Arabidopsis thaliana: one gene and its partners. The protein of the gene in region 1 binds, or shares a complex with, the protein of each later gene. Each region holds a gene or a part of one and is shown in the gene's direction. Other genes may lie near its edges. The genes, in order: AT1G61000, AT3G48210 and AT3G54630.

Region 1 (7,209 bases):
GTTGCTTACAGATTATGTAAAAGTGAGCAAAGTGTCTGTGGAAGATATGTTGTTCGATGAACAAGACATCAACAAGTCTATGGACAAAATTGAGGTTAGTACTGCATTATATTCTATGACTATGTTTATACTTTGACTGCTCCACTAGGTTTGGGATAAGTTCAAAAGAAATTAAATCTGCTTCAAAACTGTGATTGTTGAGTTAAGGTTTATATTTGATTTCCTCTATAGGTAATTGACTTCCATCAAACAGTTGAAGTGAATGGCATAAAGTTCTGGTGTTACACGGCAGGCCATGTTTTGGGTGCAGCCATGTTTATGGTGGATATAGCTGGTGTCCGAATCCTCTATACAGGCGACTATTCCCGTGAGGAAGACCGACATCTGAGAGCAGCTGAGCTTCCTCAATTCTCCCCTGACATATGCATCATTGAATCCACTTCTGGTGTCCAGCTTCATCAATCTCGTCATATTCGTGAGAAACGCTTCACTGATGTAATCCATTCAACGGTTGCTCAGGGTGGACGTGTGCTGATCCCGGCTTTTGCACTGGGCCGTGCTCAGGAACTTCTCTTGATTCTTGATGAATACTGGGCGAACCACCCAGATCTACACAATATCCCAATCTACTATGCATCACCACTCGCCAAAAAGTGTATGGCGGTTTACCAAACCTACATATTATCTATGAACGACAGAATCCGCAACCAGTTTGCAAATTCTAATCCGTTTGTGTTCAAGCACATTTCTCCATTAAACAGCATCGATGATTTTAATGATGTCGGTCCATCTGTGGTAATGGCTACTCCTGGAGGTCTTCAAAGCGGTCTCTCAAGGCAACTCTTTGACAGCTGGTGTTCAGATAAGAAGAATGCTTGTATCATACCAGGTTATATGGTGGAAGGTACACTGGCCAAGACGATAATTAATGAACCAAAGGAGGTGACTCTTATGAATGGTCTTACTGCTCCGCTCAACATGCAAGTGCACTATATATCGTTCTCTGCTCATGCAGATTACGCGCAGACGAGCACGTTCTTGAAAGAGCTCATGCCTCCTAACATCATCCTTGTTCACGGTGAAGCTAACGAGATGATGAGGCTCAAACAGAAGCTCTTAACAGAGTTTCCTGATGGAAACACAAAGATCATGACCCCGAAGAACTGTGAGTCAGTGGAAATGTATTTTAATTCTGAGAAATTGGCGAAAACCATTGGGAGATTGGCGGAAAAGACACCTGATGTTGGCGATACAGTAAGCGGGATTCTGGTGAAGAAAGGGTTCACTTATCAGATAATGGCACCTGACGAACTCCATGTTTTCTCACAGCTATCAACAGCAACTGTAACTCAGCGAATTACAATCCCGTTTGTAGGAGCTTTTGGTGTGATAAAACATCGCCTGGAGAAGATTTTCGAGAGCGTGGAATTTTCAACAGATGAGGAATCGGGGCTTCCAGCACTGAAAGTTCATGAAAGAGTAACGGTGAAACAAGAGTCAGAGAAGCACATCTCACTTCAGTGGTCATCAGATCCAATAAGTGACATGGTTTCAGACTCCATTGTAGCTCTGATTCTCAACATCAGCCGAGAAGTCCCCAAGATCGTTATGGAAGAAGAAGATGCTGTGAAATCCGAGGAAGAGAACGGGAAGAAAGTTGAGAAAGTGATATACGCACTTCTTGTTTCGCTTTTCGGGGATGTGAAACTAGGAGAAAACGGGAAACTGGTGATTAGGGTCGATGGCAATGTCGCTCAGCTGGATAAAGAGAGTGGAGAGGTAGAGAGTGAGCATTCAGGTCTTAAGGAAAGAGTGAGAGTAGCTTTTGAGCGGATTCAGAGCGCTGTGAAACCAATCCCTCTCTCAGCTTCTTAGTAGCTTTTTAAAGTCATCGTTGAGGTATCTTAAATCATCATAGAGTTTTATCCATCTGATGATGTTTCTGTTCCCATGTTTAGTAATAGTGAATGATCAAGTCTAATGGATGTTATTTAAGAAGGTGTTTATTGAGAAACTTTGCTACTACCCTACTGTGATAATGATCAAGTCTTATGGATGTTATCAACTATGAGTTTTTAACTTTTTTAGGTTTTTTCATAAATCATTTTGCTGATTCGTGCTTTTCCCATATGCATTTTTCTATCATTATGCTGATCTAGGATATGGAAGCAAAAGCTTTGTGGTGCATCAAGTTAAGAGGTTTCTAAAGTTAAAAAAGTACTAGGCTTCTTCCAGATTCTTTGTAAGACATATTAGTGAGCCTTGCTTTTGATATTTGCAGTTTCATGAATACACGGTGTCGTTTGATGCGTTTCTACCAAGCCTCTAAAGTACAAGGCAGGTCTGATTGAGCTAAAGTAAGGTAGAAGAGAGATTGTAATGAGCACATTTTCTATTATTTTTCCACGTACAAAGTATACATTATTCACATCAGTGAATGTCTCTTGACCTCTATGTTTTGGCAAGATGTCTAGTGCATCAAGATATTAAGACCAAATCTCTACAATATTAAAATGCTTAATTTTTTTTTTTGTAGATTAAAGTTTCTTTTTTAATTTTATTTATAAAAGCTTCTACGTTCTACCGTATCCAAATATGCATCAATATCTGCAGAGACTGCAGTTTCATATAGGCGGGAAAAGCAAATGCAAAAAACAAATCGAACCTGACCCAACTAAAATCAAAGGCTCTCTTTTTTTTTTTTCATTTCTTTCCAAATTGTCATTTTCAGTTTCTTCGAATCCAGACACAACAAATCCGAACCTGACCAAAACTGAAAACTATGTCAGCCTACGAGTACCCGAGGCTCTCTCGTTCCGACATTATCACGGCGCTCAAGGATGCTCAAATCGCTAGCGTTACAGAGACCGATCTCAAAACCCCAACTTCCGACTTTGTCTCCGAGCTTTACACCAGAATTCTTATCTATCTCGACGCCCTCGACGAGTATGTACTCCTCAAAACCCTAGTTCCTCTCTTAGCTCTTCACTCAATTTTACCCTCGATTTTGAAACTCTTCGTCTAGTTTCGAGCTAGGTCATCGAATTCTGTCAGAAATTATGTTAAATATTGAATCTTTGGGATTTTCTATTTTTGATTGTATGAACTGCTAAGTAATTTTGAAAACCCTATTTTTTGTTTCAATTTGGGGGAATTTCTGATGATGCTTCTTTTTTGAATTGCGTTTTTCGACATTGTAGAGAAGAGAAAGGGCAAGTTGATTTTGAGGCTTTGGAGCAATTGGAGAATCCAGATCATCATGCCACTTCAATGCAAGCTATGAAGCTTTATTGCAAAGTGAAAGATATGTTAGAAATGCTTGATTGTCCATTACCAATTAGTTTCAAGGATCTCTTACGCCCTGAATCATCCCGAACCGAGTTTTTCATCAGCGCACTTTTGAACTATGGTCTATACAAGTATGTCCTTCATGCTCTTAGTTCTTCTCTGTAGTATCTATTTCGATGCACCAAGAAGTTAAAATAGAGAGTTCTTATTTGTCCCACTTGATCTTCTTTAATCTTTTTTTCGTACCAGAGACTCGAAAATGGATCTTATAAGACCAAAGGCAGAAGAGTTGGGTCTCCTTGATGAGCAGCGAAAGCAGTGTGAGGCAAAGGTTGCTCAGGTAATGCAAGAAAAATATGTATCCCATAGATAAGTCATTTATCTTTTTCTAAAAGCTGTACATGCAGTTGAATGCAGAGATTGGAGAATTTGATGAAGCCGTTGAGAGGGACTTACCTTTTGTCCAAGAGCTAGAAGCGAACATTGAACAACTGAATAAAAAAATATTGGAACTAAATAATCAGCAGATGTCACTGCGAGCTACCTTCCAGAAAATGAGAGAGAAGAGTACACAGATGGATAACGAGGTACGTAACCGCAGGATATGGTGTCGAGCTCCTTCCTCAAACTAAATTGGGTTATTTGTAATTTATTATGAAGTTGGTGAAGAAACAAATTTTGTTTGTCAATTAGGTGATTTGCATATGCTTGAACTTGAGAGGCGTTTTCTGCTCCTGACATGTGTATTTCTCTCTACAGATTTCCAAAGCAGAGTTTGATCTTGTGGAAACTGTCCAAGAAAATGCAAACCTCCGCTCACAAATTGTTCAATCACCGGACAAATTGCAGGTATATTTTTATTCCAACTAGTACTAGTCCTAAGATAAACTTTTGGTATACACTAGTATAAACGTTTGTTGTGGAGACAGGGAGCTTTAGAAGAGAAGAAACTAGTACTTGGGGAAACAAAGAAAGCTGAACAATCAGCAATGGTAACTTTCCAGGAAAAGGCTGCCATTCTTGAGGTTTTTGAAAAGGTATCTAATGAAAACTCTAGATTGTTACTAAATCCTGTCGCTTAGCAAGTAGCTAAATGCATTTACGACATTTGCAACTTAATGGTCACTGCGGATACTGCTCTCAAACCAGTTTTTAGAGAAGGATATTTCAAGTCATTATTCTTCTAAGTTTGGTGTGTTTATTGCTCTATCACTTTTGTTCATACTTCATGAAATTCTGTCCAGAAGCTTTAGGAAGAACTTCTTTTATTTTGTTGTATAGTGGATGAGAATGATCCCAAGATGGAAAATATTAGATTGAGACCTTATTCTGTGTTGTTACTTCAAAATTTTCTTATGTTTTGTCTTGCAACAGTTTTATGCTTTATTTTTGAGTCGAATAAGTTTTGCTTTAATATTGAGGTAATAAAGTTTATTCAACTATGGTTGCCTTTTGCAGGCCTTGAAGAAAATTTTAAAGTCATCTTCGCAACTGCAGTTAATAAACGAACAGGTGACCAAGCAAAAAAACTCCTTTCCTCTTTCATTGCTTATAGATTGTGAACCATGTATTGTATCTCTAGCATGTGGCAACACACAGATCCTTCCAATTATTGGAATGAGATCTAATGTGTCTTTAGATTTATCTTTCATTTTTATGTATATTTGATGATGTTACAGGTAACCAATGCGAAAACGGTTGAGAAAGAATTCAAAGCTCTTAAAGATAAGCTGAGTGAGGATGGGGTAGCATACAAATCACTTGAGGCGAAAGTGGTTGAGCGGGAAAGAATAGGCAAGTGTTGGTTTATTTCTTCCTTCTTCAGATATTGTTTCTGAATTTTGTTTTGGGACGGAGACTGTAATCATCTCTTCTGTCAACAGTGGAACAGTTGAACGAATCATTGAAACAACTAGAGAAAGAAAAAGCAGTCATGTTTGATGATTGGACGAAACAGTTGAATGAATTAAAAGTGGAGGTTGAATCCAGAAGACGTGAACTTGAAACCAGGCAAACGAATGTTGAATCAGTAGTAGCTATGGTATTGCTTCCTTTCTATCGAACATCTAACAACGTGAATCTGTTGTGCACGATGCTTTATCATCTCCGTAAGTTTTATTTGTTTATATATCAACAGGTTGATGACAATACTGCGAAGACTAACCAGGTGAGACAGTCAGGAGAAGCTAAAGTTAAAAAACTAGCCGCTAAATATGAAGAGATCGTGAAGCAGGTTTATTTCGTTTCCATTATTTTTATCTGCTAATATATTGAACCATGGAAACAAAAGCTTTGTGGTGCATCAAGTTAAAGAGGTTTCCAAAGTTAAAAAGCTACTAGGGTTCTTCCAGATTCTCTGTAAGACATATTAGTGAGCCTTGCTTTTGATATTTGCAGTTTCATGAATACACGGTGTCGTTTGATGCGTTTCTACCAAGCCTCTAAAGGACAAGGAAGGTCTGATTCATCTAAATTAAGGTAGACGAGAGATTGTAATGAGCACATTTTCTCTGCAAATGGTTAAGAATTTGACTACTAAATTCCTCTTGTGATTGTATTAAAGTTGGAAAATGTTATGAATTTCTCTTCATGGAAATGGCATGTATTGAAGTAGTTTATAAAAGAATGTTAACAGAAAAAAAATGAAGAGAAAATGAGAGCTTTATGGTTGTGTTGAAGGAATCGAACTCTTGTCCTGGAAGCAAAAGAATCCTATCGCTTTCCCAATTGCGCCACTCTCACTAGGGATTTTTGAAGAAAAATAAAAACAATTTAACAGCAAACAAAGTGTAAAATTTGCTTCGCGGTGCTTTTCTTTTCAATCATCTTCACTCTTCAATTTCTGTGGATTCGACAATCTCCCAGAACGAGAAGAAATCTACGATCCTCGCAACGGAGCAATTCAAATTCGATGACTACGTAGTGTTAACGAAGAAGACGAAAAAGTGCATCGGAGATCCGAAATATGGATCCGGAGCAGACGTTTATTAGGGTTCAGGAGAGGTTTTCGCAGATCTTAACGCCAAGGATTAGAGGTTTCTTAGAGTATACTTACCTCTTCGTTGCCATCACTTTGTTCTGTATCCTCGTTGTTATGCACGCCAATTATGTTCAGCAGGTAATTTTTGACTCTCGTATTGAATCCTTTAATTTATAGGTCGTTTTTAGTGCAAATTGCCTTTGTTAATGACTTCATTGTTGAAATTTTAAGTCTGAGATACTACAATTTGAAAAGGATGATGTAGCATTTTTCTGTGTTAGGAGTAATCTGATATGAATTGTGGAGCTTAAGCTAATTCTGTAGAACATGTTCGCATGAGCGTGGTTAGGAGACTACTGTTTGTATCTTTACTAAGGTTGCACTGGTCATAATTATATAAATCCGACGGAAGATACTTTTCTGATTTCTTTGTGTTTATGTTTATGTAAACATTAGTACACTTTCCAATAGGAATTACGGCCTATGCAAATGCATTTGAATACTTCTAAGATTGCAAACTTCAAAAATCAAATATCTGTTGGCTTAGCTCTCTTCTACTTTAAGAGTTTCGTGTAGTGTGCATGCCTTCCTAAGATTTATCTTTGCTAGACTCTCCTAAGCTTCTCTTATCTGACCATTATTGTTTCTCTCTAACTAATTTCGTTAATTTTTTTGATTATTATTAAAGCCTGGTTGTTCAAGTGAGCTGACTGGAGTTGAGTTAGCTGAAGCAGAGCTTATGCAAATCAAGGTATGTAGCTATTATCGCTTCTGATGCTAGCATGCATAATTAGTGAAAAATTTTAGATTTTCTAGGCTTTGAACTGGTTCCTCACTCGTACTTTGGAAAACTCTTTCTTGAAATCAGTTAGCCACAAATAAAATTTCTATTCATCCTTAGTTCTCTAACCAACTGATTTTCTGTGATATAGATAACAAGT
Region 2 (6,249 bases), on another chromosome or scaffold:
AGGTATTTTCACTTTGACGCGCACACACACTTTACATCACCACATCAGCATGTAATCAATTAAAACCCACATCCATCAATCATCATTACCTAAAATTTGCTAAATTAAACTTCAACTGTTTCTCCATTTTGTTTGCCGCCAGGCTACGCTATTGAACTTCAATTGTCCAGTTAGATTTGTTTCTCTTCTAGCATAATCTCATGCATGTACATTTATATATGTGTACTCTGGCAACTGACTTTTTTTCTTCTTTCTAACCTTCAATATAAATATTATATGAAACTTGAAAGTAATTATATATATCAAAAGAAATCTAATTAGAACCATTATAAGTAATAAAGAAAAATGTTGACAAAAACAAACTTGCAAAAGTAATAAAGAAAATTTTAATATTTTTAATTATAGTCTAGTCAAACTTTAAATTAATGATTTTAACTTTTCTGGACATTAGTTTTATATATACTACACACACACCTATGACAAAAAAGACATGTATACGTAAACATACACTTACAGGGAAAAAATTAAAGGAAAGAAACTAAAAAAAAATGGAGATGAAGAAATGTAGTATGATCATGATGATAATGATGATGGTGGTGATGGCATCCATACGAGGAGGAGAAGCAATTATAATAAGAACAACATGCAAGCAAATGTGCATCGACCAATGTGGTGGCCGCATCACTGTCCCTGAGACCCCTTGTCTCCGTAAATGTCTTCACGAAAAATGTGGCTTTCCAGCTCCTCCGTAATAATTCGTAACCTCGTATATATTTACGTATATTGATCAAGTATACCTTTTAATTTGTGTTGACTAATAATTTATATTTATCGCGACATTGCAGGATGGAGGCTGTAGGAATGGAAAACCTCATAGGATAGATCCTCATATCCTCAGTTTACTTTTCATAAGTTATTGTTGTGGAAGGAAAGAATTACAATAATTAAGAGTAATGAACAAAAACTCAGTTTACTTTTCATAAGAAATTTTGATGTGTACAATGATTTTTTCCTATGATCATAAAGATTTCCGAGGCCAAAATTAGGGTCAACATTCATTCATATTGGATTTGAACCTTATTTTGATCCTTATAAAGACTTTCTTCGATCGATTTACTTCATCCATATTTTATGGCCCTTTCTCCTTCGACAACAACGCATTAATTCTCAGGACGGGTGCGTTGCAATGTAAAAAGTTCTTTCGAAATATTTCATCCGATTAGTTTTCCTCAAAAGTATTAGTTTCAATTAAATTAAAGATAATAGCCTAATTATAAGATAATAGCTTAATTATAAAGCCAGCCAGATTACTTCAAGTTGAAGTAATCAAGCAAACTATCTAACACTGATAATTCGTTTAAGCTCCGATGCTATATATCTAGCACATGGTTAATGCTATAACAAGTTAACACCCTCTGCATGGTCCAATATCTATAAAAATTCTAAACAGAACAAATTAATGTACAAACACAGAACAAAATAATGTACAAAACACATTTTTGTCCCTTTTGCTTACTTACACAGTAAACTCATTGTCTTATCTACTCATTACAGGTTTTATTGAATTAATTATCAAAAACATACGCACCCATTTCTACTGATATATAGTGAAAATACTCTAATTTATTATTTTAAAAAAAAAAACACTTTGCAGGTCTAAAGTGAGCTAGGGACGTGAAAAAACTGAAAATACATATTGAAACTAGACGAAGGAATTGTTATGTTCAATATGTATTTAGTGTTAATTAAAAGACTAGTTGCTTGAAGGAAGAGAAGACATGCAATGATGCAATGCAGAAAACGTAGTTAATGCATTAAAAGAGTCTTTGACTCTCTAAAGTGTAACCGTAGTATTCGGTTTTGTCAGCTCCTTCGGCTAACTAATTAAAATCCTAACGGTTCAATTTTCAACCTTTCACACACTATTCAATATTACTATTTTCCGAAAAATTGGTATGATAAAAATAATATTATTGTAACTATATTGTAAGTAAGGGTTTTGATTTAGAGCGATTAAAAATGTTATAAATCAAAATAGTGATTGATGCCAAACGCGTATTAAATCAAACGTTTGCCGATGACTGAACTACTTTCGGTAAACGAGAAACCAGACAAATGGGCCTGTCTCAGAATAGCCTTTTAAGGAGCCCAATAAATTTGGACGTAGCACGATATGAAAACGCCATCGTTTTAAAGTTCTCATCACGATGGTTCGCGTTTTGAAGCATATTTTCGAAACTCGAATCAAAATTCAAATGGCGGGCTAAACTTCGATTCAGTCTCTCTCTTTCTCTCTTTGGTGATGGAACAAATTAGCAACATCGCTGGTGGAGACACAACGAAAGAGACTATGGCGTCTCTGGGTCTCATCTGTGAGAAAGATATTCATGAACAGCGTCTTAAAATCGATTCTTTCATCGCTTCTCCTTTCCGGAGATCGATGAACTCTTTAGTGGAGCGAGCTCAAGCCACTGCTCAAAGCCAAGGTAAAATTCAAAATTCGCATAGTACCACTCAGTTCCGTATGACCCAGATCGTAAATTTCACACTTTTTTACGGTTTAGGCTCTGTCTCTCTGAAATTAGGGTTTTAAAATTTCGACATCAGACTGGTAAAATTGAGCGGTTCTGTGAAATGTTTCTTTGATTTTACAGTGGAACTAATGAATTTGAAAGCGGATCTGAGAGAAGCAGAGGATGAGCTAGTTAAAGTGTTGGCAGGTATTATTACCTCAAAAGCTTGAAACTTTGAACTTAGTTTCTTAAATCATAAGATTCTCCTTGGTGTTATTTTCATGCTTACATACATTGTTTTGCTGAGTTTGGATATCTTACTGTCTTTGGGATGTTATATGTTTGATGTTTAGTGAAAACCCGTAAAGAGGCACGGCAAATGGGGATAAGAGATTCCATTTCTGCAACACAATCTAGGATTGAAGTACTTAGAAGAAATTTGCAGCTACAGAAGTCAAAGAAGGATGATTCTGTGAGAATTATCTCCCAACAGTTGCAAGGTATCGTTATATAATTCTGAAGTTCATTATACATACAAGTTTCATGAGTCAGCTACATGCTTTGGGATTTTGTAAAGTGAAGATATCTATAAAAAGTACTCTGCTTGTTTCAATAAGAGATCACATGAATCACTGAAGACCAAGCTAACATATTTCTTCCAATAAAGCCTTGTCAAAATCGAAGGACAACGCTGGTAAAGTCACCGAAGACAAAGCAGATATTCATGAAGCAATCTCTTGGTATAATCATGCTCTCGGTTTTCACGTTGAAGCTGGACATGGTAATAGAGACATTTTGAGTTTGTAACAATCTTAGTTCTATATTACTAAACCTTAGCCCTAAAAGAGCTTTGTTGTTTTAACTTCTCTTACAGGAGTTAAATTCACATTCACCAACATTGATGCAAAAAGGCCGACCCGCGAATTTTCGTTCACAGTTCACTATGGAAATGACATCTACACACGTGAGTATATATATGTCTTCTTGAAGCAAGCATCAACTACATTATAATGTTTACAAAAAAACCTAGTAATATGAACTGTTTACAGTCGTTTACTTATATGATCATCAGTATTGGATAGCGATCTGCAATTGGATTACATCAACGAGATGGTTCAAGAATTGAATAAAACCAATGACCTTTTCAGATTTGTTCGTCTGATGAGGGAGCAGTTTCTGAAATCCACTTTATCTGGTAAATTGTCTCAAGCCTATCCTTTTATAACCTCTATCTCCATAAGTGAGAAATCTTATTTTCGATATATATAAAAGTTGAATATGACCAAGACTTGTGTTTTATTGGATTTTGTCAGAGCTGCCAACACATTCAGGACAACTGCAACAGGAAACGTCTGCCATATCTGCTTCAGCTCCAGCTATATCATTTTCCACTGATACAAACATGTCAACTCCAGAAAACAAAAGATCTAAGGTTCAAGTGAATCGGCGACAAAAAAGAGGTAGCGAATCACCACTCCTAGCTCCTGTATCCACATCTGCCACTCGCCGTTCTTCTCGCTTTAAGGTACTGGATACTCATTGTGTTCTTAAATGTTACAACACCAAACCAAATTCAAAATATTTGTTAGATACTATAGTTTCCAAAAGTAGGATACCAGAACCTATTTGCATAACAACTGGACATAATAATGTTCTATCTGATTAATAATACTTAACTGATCACATGGAGCCTATAGTATTTAACATACAACTTATATAGCAACTCTAACTTGTTACAGGGTAAGAAATGAAGGTGGAGCTCTGTTTTCCTTTTCACAAGCATCAAGGAATAAACTTAAGCGTAGATGATGCTGCGGAACTTTCGACAACAACAGATTGTTGTTTGAAATTCCTATAAATATTAGAATGTCATTGTAATCACGCTTATTGACAATGTTGATTTCTTTACTAGTGTGGATGCTATGCTTATACACCAATCGATGATGGAGCTTGTGGGACTAGATTTTAATCGATGTAATCTCGCGCTTCTCTATTTCTAGATTTCGTTAGCTAATGGATGCTTGTCTAGCTTCATTAAGATTGCGCATTAGAGATAATGATGGATACTTGAGCCATAGATTGTGCATTAGAGATGTACAGTTTATGCAATTTTAAAACTAAAAATATAGCCACAACCATATTTTCTATCTTAAATTAGACAAGAAAACAAATCAAACACCATTCTCCAACTCGTTGTTCCTCTTGAAACGACTCTTCACCTCGCTCATGAAGGCGAAGAAGGGATTTGGTGTAGCCAACGCGGGAGAACGAACATGGAAAAGTATAAGTGATAAAGGTCTTCCAACATGTTACAATCCCCAGCAAAACTCAGAGTTTGATAATCTTTGCAACATTCCAAGCTGTTGTGAAGCCCGAACTTGTCTTTACGCAAATTAGTAGACCCCAAACATGAATGCATCTTGCACCACATGTACATTGTATTAGCATCAAAAGGGTTTATTGCCAGCGGAATGTAATCAAAACCAGTCTCACTACAAGCTAGAGATATTTCAGATACTATTTCCCATTCCCGGCTCTTTAGCCTCCATACACGTAACTTATGCTCTACATGTGCATCATCTTTGTCTTGGGAGAAGATGTTCATGTACATGATATATCCTTGAGATGTTGTGCAAACTCATTTTAAATTTGGTGGTTTCGTTCCACCGTCAGGGAAAGGTGTAACTTGGCATCGATCAGATTCCGTGCCAGTCGCGTAGAAATCATGGAACACAACAACCTCTCCATAGTCGTTGTTGTAGCCTATCCAGTAAAGGTTTCCATACAAGCTAACAGGGTTGTAATCTATCAGACCAGACAAAGTGAGATGAGATTGGAGGGTTTTGAAACTCCATAACCCTGTCTCGGATGAATATATCAGTAAACTTATGACATCGTCCAAGTTACTTGTATCCATCAAAACAACTTTGTAACCTAAAACGACGTGATCCTCAAGTTTTGTGACAAGCCCAGAGGTTAAAAAATAACCAACTGTTGGAGGAGGCTGAGGGATTTCGACACATTGTCTTGAGATCGGATTAGCCACATAGTAAGTTAGTAATTTGTTGCCAGAGCTGATCAAAATCAATCCAACATGAGTGTAAGCCACGGCGAGTGTAACGTTTGGGAATTGAGTATTGAATTTGTGGGTTATGAAAGAAGAGATGTAAGAACTTAGAGATCGTGGAAGACCCCAAGTTTCGCATTCGTAGTGAGCCACGACTACTTCAGGTAGGACTCTGCAGAGGATTGACCATGAAGAATGAGAGTTTTGATGGTGGGTGTTGAAAAGTTTGCGGAAAAACGGAGATTCTACGAGCGATTTCCATTGCTTGCAAACTAGTTTTGAAGTGGTGATGATTGTTAGTGGTAATCTCGCAAGTATAATTGCCCATAGATCATCTGTTAAGAAAATCAAATCATCTCCTTCTTCTTCTTATTCTCTGTCTCCATCCCAATTGAGTTTTGAGTACACGACTTTACTCTGTTCAATTAAAGTTATCAATGTATATTTTAATGATTTTTTTTTTCTTTGTAATATTAACAATATTGTTGAATCAATACAATTAAACTAAAATCCATGTCTCTCCAAACCTGACACCTAAGCAAAACTTGGAGAAGAAAATTATACTTTTACATTCGAATTGGTTTGTTAGTTTTAATTTTTATTAGTTATGAGTTTTGAGGAAGATTTCTAGGTTTTTGTTTTGGCTCTCTTACTGTGAAATTGAGATGG
Region 3 (5,921 bases), on another chromosome or scaffold:
ACAAAGTTTTTCAAATGGCGATTGCTTTCAAATCCGGCGTCTTCTTCCTCCAATCCCCAAAATCTCAAATTGGATTCCGCCATTCTTCTCCTCCTGATTCATCGCTTTCTTTCAAGAGATTCACTCCCATGGCTTCTCTCTCCACCTCTTCTCCTACTCTCGGTCTCGCTGATACTTTCACACAGCTCAAAAAACAAGGCAAAGTACGTTAATTCTCCGTCTTTCATATTCCAATCCGTTCCTCAAGAATTGGACTTTTAAAACTTATCGTTAGTTCTGGTGGGAAATTTGGATTTGAAAGAATCACAAAACCATGTGTTGTTATTGCTTATGAATTCTTCTTATCAGATTGAGTTAGCATTGAGTTTGATTAGGTTTGCAATCTTGGTCTTACTGATACGATTGGATTTTGTAATTTACAGTTCATTTGCAATTTGTTTAACTTTTATGTGTGAAGGTAGCATTCATACCATATATCACAGCTGGTGATCCGGATCTCTCTACTACTGCTGAAGCATTGAAAGTTCTTGATGCTTGTGGTTCTGACATAATCGAATTGGGTGTTCCTTACTCTGACCCTTTAGCTGATGGACCTGTTATTCAGGTTTAAACCAACTATCAAAATGCAACCTTTATATATGCTTCCCTTGCCTTTTTTTTGTTTGATCATCTTGCTCTTTGTTATCTATTCAACTAGGCTGCGGCAACAAGGTCGTTGGAGAGGGGAACAAACCTCGATAGCATCCTTGAGATGTTGGATAAGGTGAGTTTAGTTTCTGAAGGAAAGATGTGTGTTTGTGTCCCCTGTCAGATATCGTTCCTATATGTGTGTTCTTATTGTTGGACTTGGTGCAGGTTGTTCCACAAATATCTTGTCCGATTTCGTTGTTCACGTATTACAACCCGATTCTTAAACGTGGGTTGGGGAAGTTCATGTCCAGCATCAGAGCTGTTGGTGTACAGGGACTTGTGGTTCCCGATGTTCCTCTTGAGGAAACTGAGATGCTGAGAAAAGAAGCCCTCAACAACGACATTGAGCTGGTAAGCATATAATCTGAAGGACGCATATATCTTGGTAGCATGATTCTCAGTCATGCCAGTGCAGTATAGATTCATTTGTGTATCTTATTTATTTTCTTCGTCTCCTCGAATTTGGTTTTTCTTAGCTGAACCTACGTATCATTTGTCTCTGTGGAGATTTATTTGCCAGCCTTATCAATAGAAACAGTAGAAGCATTGTTTAGTGTAGACACTGAGACTACAGTACTATACATGTGTTTTGCTGGATCTGCCTCGATCTATTTTGACATTCGGCTTTCAGTATCTTTGCCTTTTAGTAAACATAATTTTGCTCAATGTTTGTAATCAAGGTCCTACTCACTACACCAACCACACCAACAGAGCGAATGAAGCTAATTGTTGATGCGTCAGAAGGATTTATTTACCTTGTAAGATCCCTCTCAGTGTATATTTCTCTTTGCAGATGTCACATGTGTTTACTTAATTTGAGAATGTATTGGCCCTTTTTTTGGGTTTAACAGGTGAGCTCAATTGGAGTGACTGGTGCACGATCATCTGTAAGCGGAAAGGTTCAGTCGCTCTTGAAGGATATCAAAGAGGTCTAATAACAGTTTTTTTTTTAAAGATTGTTTCTCAAATATCTTGAAATGATGTAGAAATGCTCAAGTTGTTTAGTCATTTGTAATTCAATGCAGGCGACAGACAAGCCGGTGGCAGTCGGTTTTGGAATATCAAAGCCGGAGCATGTGAAACAGGTCCTAAACCTTACAAAGCTTCTCTTATGTTGTCTTCATAGTTACTTCTTTGCTGACTAGTTTTGTTGTGTCAACAGATAGCTGGATGGGGAGCTGATGGAGTGATCGTAGGCAGTGCAATGGTAAAGCTATTGGGTGATGCAAAGTCGCCAACTGAAGGACTTAAGGAGCTTGAGAAACTAACCAAGTCTCTTAAATCTGCTCTTCTTTGAAACACAAACATTTGCAGACAACATCTTTAGATTGTGTTTTTGATTATTATCGGTGTGTGACAATGATGTCTCAATCTTTTGATACATTTCAAGTATGATTAATAAGTTACTGTGACTCAAGCCACACAACCAGTTGCTCGGTTTACACAGAATAATAAAAACGTTATGACTCAAATTGTTTTCCAATTTGGTTCGATAAATTTGCGACCCGGTTTGATATTATGGTTCGATTAAACCAGAACAAAACAACCCTATATATAATTTCTTTTGAAATGAATGAGAAATAAAAAAACAAAGAAATTCGAAGAGGTTTTTTTAGGTTTTCGAAAATTCAAATTACAAAAGTAATCCATCCCGCTGCTCTATAGAAATATATTTCCCGATCCAGTTCCAGTGTCAGTTGCTTTATCTGTAAAAAGCAAAAAAGAGATGAGAGGCGGAGCCGCGGGAAAGAGAAGAACGACGGTGGGTTTCGGCGGAGCGCCGCCGCCACCTCCACCATCAATCGAGCAACAACGTCACCTCTTTAACTCAAGAGACTCCGACGCCAGTTTCGCCAGCAGCCGTCCTTCATCAATCGGTTTAGGCGGCCGAGGAGCCTCCGATGACAGATCTTCGATGATTCGATTCATTAACGCCTTCCTCTCCACACATAACTTCCCGATCTCTATCCGCGGTAATCCTGTTCCTTCTGTCAAAGACATCTCCGAAACCCTAAAATTCTTGCTCTCAGCTTTAGATTACCCTTGCGATTCCATCAAATGGGACGAGGATCTCGTCTTCTTTCTCAAATCGCAGAAATGTCCTTTTAAGATCACCAAATCTAGCCTCAAAGCTCCAAATACGCCTCACAATTGGCCTACTGTTCTCGCCGTTGTTCACTGGTTAGCTGAGCTTGCTCGTTTCCATCAACATCTAGTATCTAATTCCACCTCCGTACCCGAAGATAACTCCATGAATTTCTTCGCGATTCAAAGCTTTGGTCACTTCATTCGCGGCGAGGATGATAAGGTTAACGATTTAGATTCTCAATTTTTGGGTAAATTGGAAGCGGAGAAGACTAGCGTCGCTGAAACTATCTCTGGTTGTGAGAAAATCTCCGGTGAATTGGAGGCTAAACTTGAGTCACTGAGGAAAGGTCCTTCGAAGAAAGAGTCTCTGGAGAAAGTTAAAGCCGATTTGGAGAATGACGTAAACAAGTTCCGAACTATTGTTGTGGAGTATACTGATAGGAATCCAGCGATGGAGAAAGTTGTGGAGGAGAAAGCTAAGGAGCTCAAAGCTAAGGAAGAAGAGAGAGAGCGAATCTCTGTAGAGAATAAGGAGTTGAAGAAGAGTGTGGAGCTTCAGAACTTTAGCGCGGCGGATGTAAATAGGATGAGAAGAGAGTTACAAGCTGTGGAAAGAGATGTTGCGGATGCTGAGGTTGCTAGAGATGGTTGGGATCAGAAAGCTTGGGAACTCAATTCACAGATTAGGAATCAGTTTCATCAGATTCAGACACTTGCCATTGACTGCAACCAAGCTCTCAGGAGATTGAAGCTTGATATTCAGTTCGCTGTTAACGAGAGAGGGGAAACACCTGCAGCGGTGATGGGTGTGGATTATAAATCGGTGGTGAAGCCAGCTCTGTGTTCGTTGTGCGATGGGATCAAAGGAAGCTCGGCGGAGAAAGTGGAGGAATTGGTCACTTTACAGCACCATAAGTCTGAAATGGCTTCGAAGATCGAATCCAAAAGGAGTCTTCTTGGGTCAATTCAGTTGCAGATCAATGACCTCGAAGAAAAGATGAAGTTGGTGAAGAAGGAAACTCAGGAGTTGAGTACAAAATGTGATTTGGAGGCGAAAACATTGGTTGAGAGTGTGAAAGCTGAGGCTTTGAATCTGGAGGTTGTGGAGAAAGAAGCTGCTGAGTTTGTAAAAGCTTCGGAGCTTAGATTGCAAGAAGCAGTGAAGGAGAGTGAAGAGGAGGTCCAAGCATGTGCTGCACAACTCTTTGCACTTATCGATTCGATATCGAAACAGAAAGAGTACATGGATTCGAAGATATCGGAGATCAAAACCGGTGTTGCTGATACTGCCAGTGCTGTTTCAGAGATATACAAAGCCAACTTCAAGAAGAACCTTGGTATCTAGTGGTTGGAATCAACTGAGCCAAGAGATTGTTAAAAGCGTGAGTAATTCCTATTGCTTTTGTTCACATAGTCGTATTAGCATCTATGTGTGGTATGTATGAGTTTTCAGGATGGATAATTGAAATTGCTCAGCTATGCTAGTAGTATATAAATATCTGTGTTTCTTTTTTCATTGAAACTTAGATGATAGGCACATAATCTAATATTCACAATGTTTAACTCAAAGAACGCTGTTATGATCAAGTTACATAGGATTTCCAATGAATACACTCTTACCTTCTTTTTACCATAAGCTGACTTAGGTGACTTTGATTCTTATTCGGTTTATCCCCTCGGGTCTCTTGAAGTCAGGCTATGTTTGCAGCTCCTCGGTTGTAACCTCTTTGGGTTACCACTTTCTTCAGTCTCACTGAGTTCCTCCTTTACTTGTTTAAAGCTTGCTTACTCATGCATCATATGTGGTGAGAATATCTTACTGATGATATGAATAAGAGAGAGTAGCTATCAAATCAAGAAAATGAGAGGAAGGAGTTAAAAAAGACAAAGGAAACCTAAGCTGCTTATCTATAAAGCCAACACATTATTCTTACCCTTTTGCCCACAAAGTAAATGACACACATCAACTAAAGTAGAAATTTAAAATGCCTTTGAATGCCTTAATTTGCATTTTTATTAAATTATTAACAGAAAAAAGATATGTTGGTTAGTACTAATCCAATACAATACAGAAACGTGTCAAGTATCCTAATCAATAATGGCGGCTCCACGTAAGACAAAAACAAATTAAGGAAAGAGCGAGAGAGAGAGAGAGAGAGAAAAAAGAAGAAGAAGAATTTGAGGCGATTGGGTAAGCGATGCACATCGTCTTCTCTGTCGATGATTTGACCGAATCCTTCTGGCCTGTTCCCGCTCCGGCGCCGTCGCCGGGATCGTCATCGACTCCGTCACCGACGCAGAACGTGGCGGATGGGATGACTCGAAGTCAATCGGAGTGGGCGTTCCACAGGCTTATCAATGAGTTGTCTGGTTCCGATTCGAGCCCTACGACTAACACAATCGAGAGATCACCTCCACCGGTTCAGTCTCTTTCGAGATTAGAAGAAACCGTTGACGAAACCGAAGATGTTGTTGAGATTCAGAAACCGCAGAATCATCGACGGCTCCCTGTTGATGATCAAGGGAAGAATCGGAATCGTGCTCCGTCGTCTGATCCGGTTGATTCTTCAGCTCCTGTTGTTGTTGATCCTAATCAGTATCATGCGATTCTTAAGAGCAAGCTCGAGCTTGCTTGCGCTGCTGTTGCTCGTCGTGTACGTCTCTTAGATCCATTTCTTATGTGTATTCAGATTAAAGGAATTGATGATTTCAACAATAAGGAATGTTTGGTTGTGTGTTGATTTGATATGATTTTCTTCAGGTGGGAACTGTGAAACCGGAAGATTCGAGTGCTTCAGCTAGCAATCAAAAACAAGCTCAAGGTCACGTATCGTTGCTTTGTTTTGGTTTTGGTTTTTTGACTCTCTCTAGCTTTGTCTCTCGTCAATGTCAATGTTTAGATTACATAGAGAGCAAACATTTCATCGAGATTTGTTTGTCAATTTGATTAGACAATTAATTAACTGCTAATCTCTCTCAGTAAACTCAAGACTTTAAGGGAATTTGAAGATAAGTAGGCTTTGTTTTGGAGATGACAGCTTTCTCTGTGTTCATTCATATTTAATTCTGTTCTAGTCGAGTCAATTTTTTCTCTGAGAAGAAAGAAACAAGGCATACGTAGTATTATGCGTTTAGATGAGAAT

Evidence for each region.
Region 2: AT1G61000 (region 1) and AT3G48210 share a complex: the UniProt entries of both Arabidopsis thaliana proteins name them as parts of the NDC80 complex.
Region 3: AT1G61000 (region 1) and AT3G54630 share a complex: the UniProt entries of both Arabidopsis thaliana proteins name them as parts of the NDC80 complex.

The regions. Positions count from the first base shown.
Region 1 is NC_003070.9:22,469,620-22,476,828, reverse strand, and holds AT1G61000 (kinetochore protein), read left to right. Parts: upstream 1-2,641; 5' UTR 2,642-2,782; coding exon 2,783-2,946; intron 2,947-3,200; coding exon 3,201-3,419; intron 3,420-3,537; coding exon 3,538-3,628; intron 3,629-3,695; coding exon 3,696-3,875; intron 3,876-4,047; coding exon 4,048-4,137; intron 4,138-4,217; coding exon 4,218-4,325; intron 4,326-4,746; coding exon 4,747-4,800; intron 4,801-4,967; coding exon 4,968-5,082; intron 5,083-5,171; coding exon 5,172-5,329; intron 5,330-5,425; coding exon 5,426-5,521; intron 5,522-5,685; coding exon 5,686-5,733; 3' UTR 5,734-6,001; downstream 6,002-7,209. Other genes in the region: CPSF73-I (cleavage and polyadenylation specificity factor 73-I), read left to right, coding at 1-94, 232-1,875; AT1G60995 (S3 self-incompatibility locus-linked pollen protein), read left to right, coding at 6,254-6,406, 6,957-7,019, 7,201-7,209. UniProt on the Arabidopsis thaliana protein: Acts as a component of the essential kinetochore-associated NDC80 complex, which is required for chromosome segregation and spindle checkpoint activity to ensure proper cell division.
Region 2 is NC_003074.8:17,847,133-17,853,381, forward strand, and holds AT3G48210 (kinetochore protein), read left to right. Parts: upstream 1-2,218; 5' UTR 2,219-2,302; coding exon 2,303-2,486; intron 2,487-2,654; coding exon 2,655-2,720; intron 2,721-2,866; coding exon 2,867-3,013; intron 3,014-3,180; coding exon 3,181-3,294; intron 3,295-3,387; coding exon 3,388-3,477; intron 3,478-3,585; coding exon 3,586-3,708; intron 3,709-3,826; coding exon 3,827-4,038; intron 4,039-4,252; coding exon 4,253-4,264; 3' UTR 4,265-4,653; downstream 4,654-6,249. Other genes in the region: AT3G48209 (Plant thionin family protein), read left to right, coding at 549-752; AT3G48220 (F-box protein), read right to left, coding at 5,152-5,752. UniProt on the Arabidopsis thaliana protein: Acts as a component of the essential kinetochore-associated NDC80 complex, which is required for chromosome segregation and spindle checkpoint activity to ensure proper cell division.
Region 3 is NC_003074.8:20,219,397-20,225,317, reverse strand, and holds AT3G54630 (kinetochore protein), read left to right. Parts: upstream 1-2,289; 5' UTR 2,290-2,416; coding exon 2,417-4,123; 3' UTR 4,124-4,221; downstream 4,222-5,921. Other genes in the region: TSA1 (tryptophan synthase alpha chain), read left to right, coding at 15-203, 458-604, 698-763, 856-1,041, 1,371-1,448, 1,542-1,619, 1,716-1,775, 1,853-1,987; BZIP25 (basic leucine zipper 25), read left to right, coding at 4,977-5,432, 5,540-5,600. UniProt on the Arabidopsis thaliana protein: Acts as a component of the essential kinetochore-associated NDC80 complex, which is required for chromosome segregation and spindle checkpoint activity to ensure proper cell division.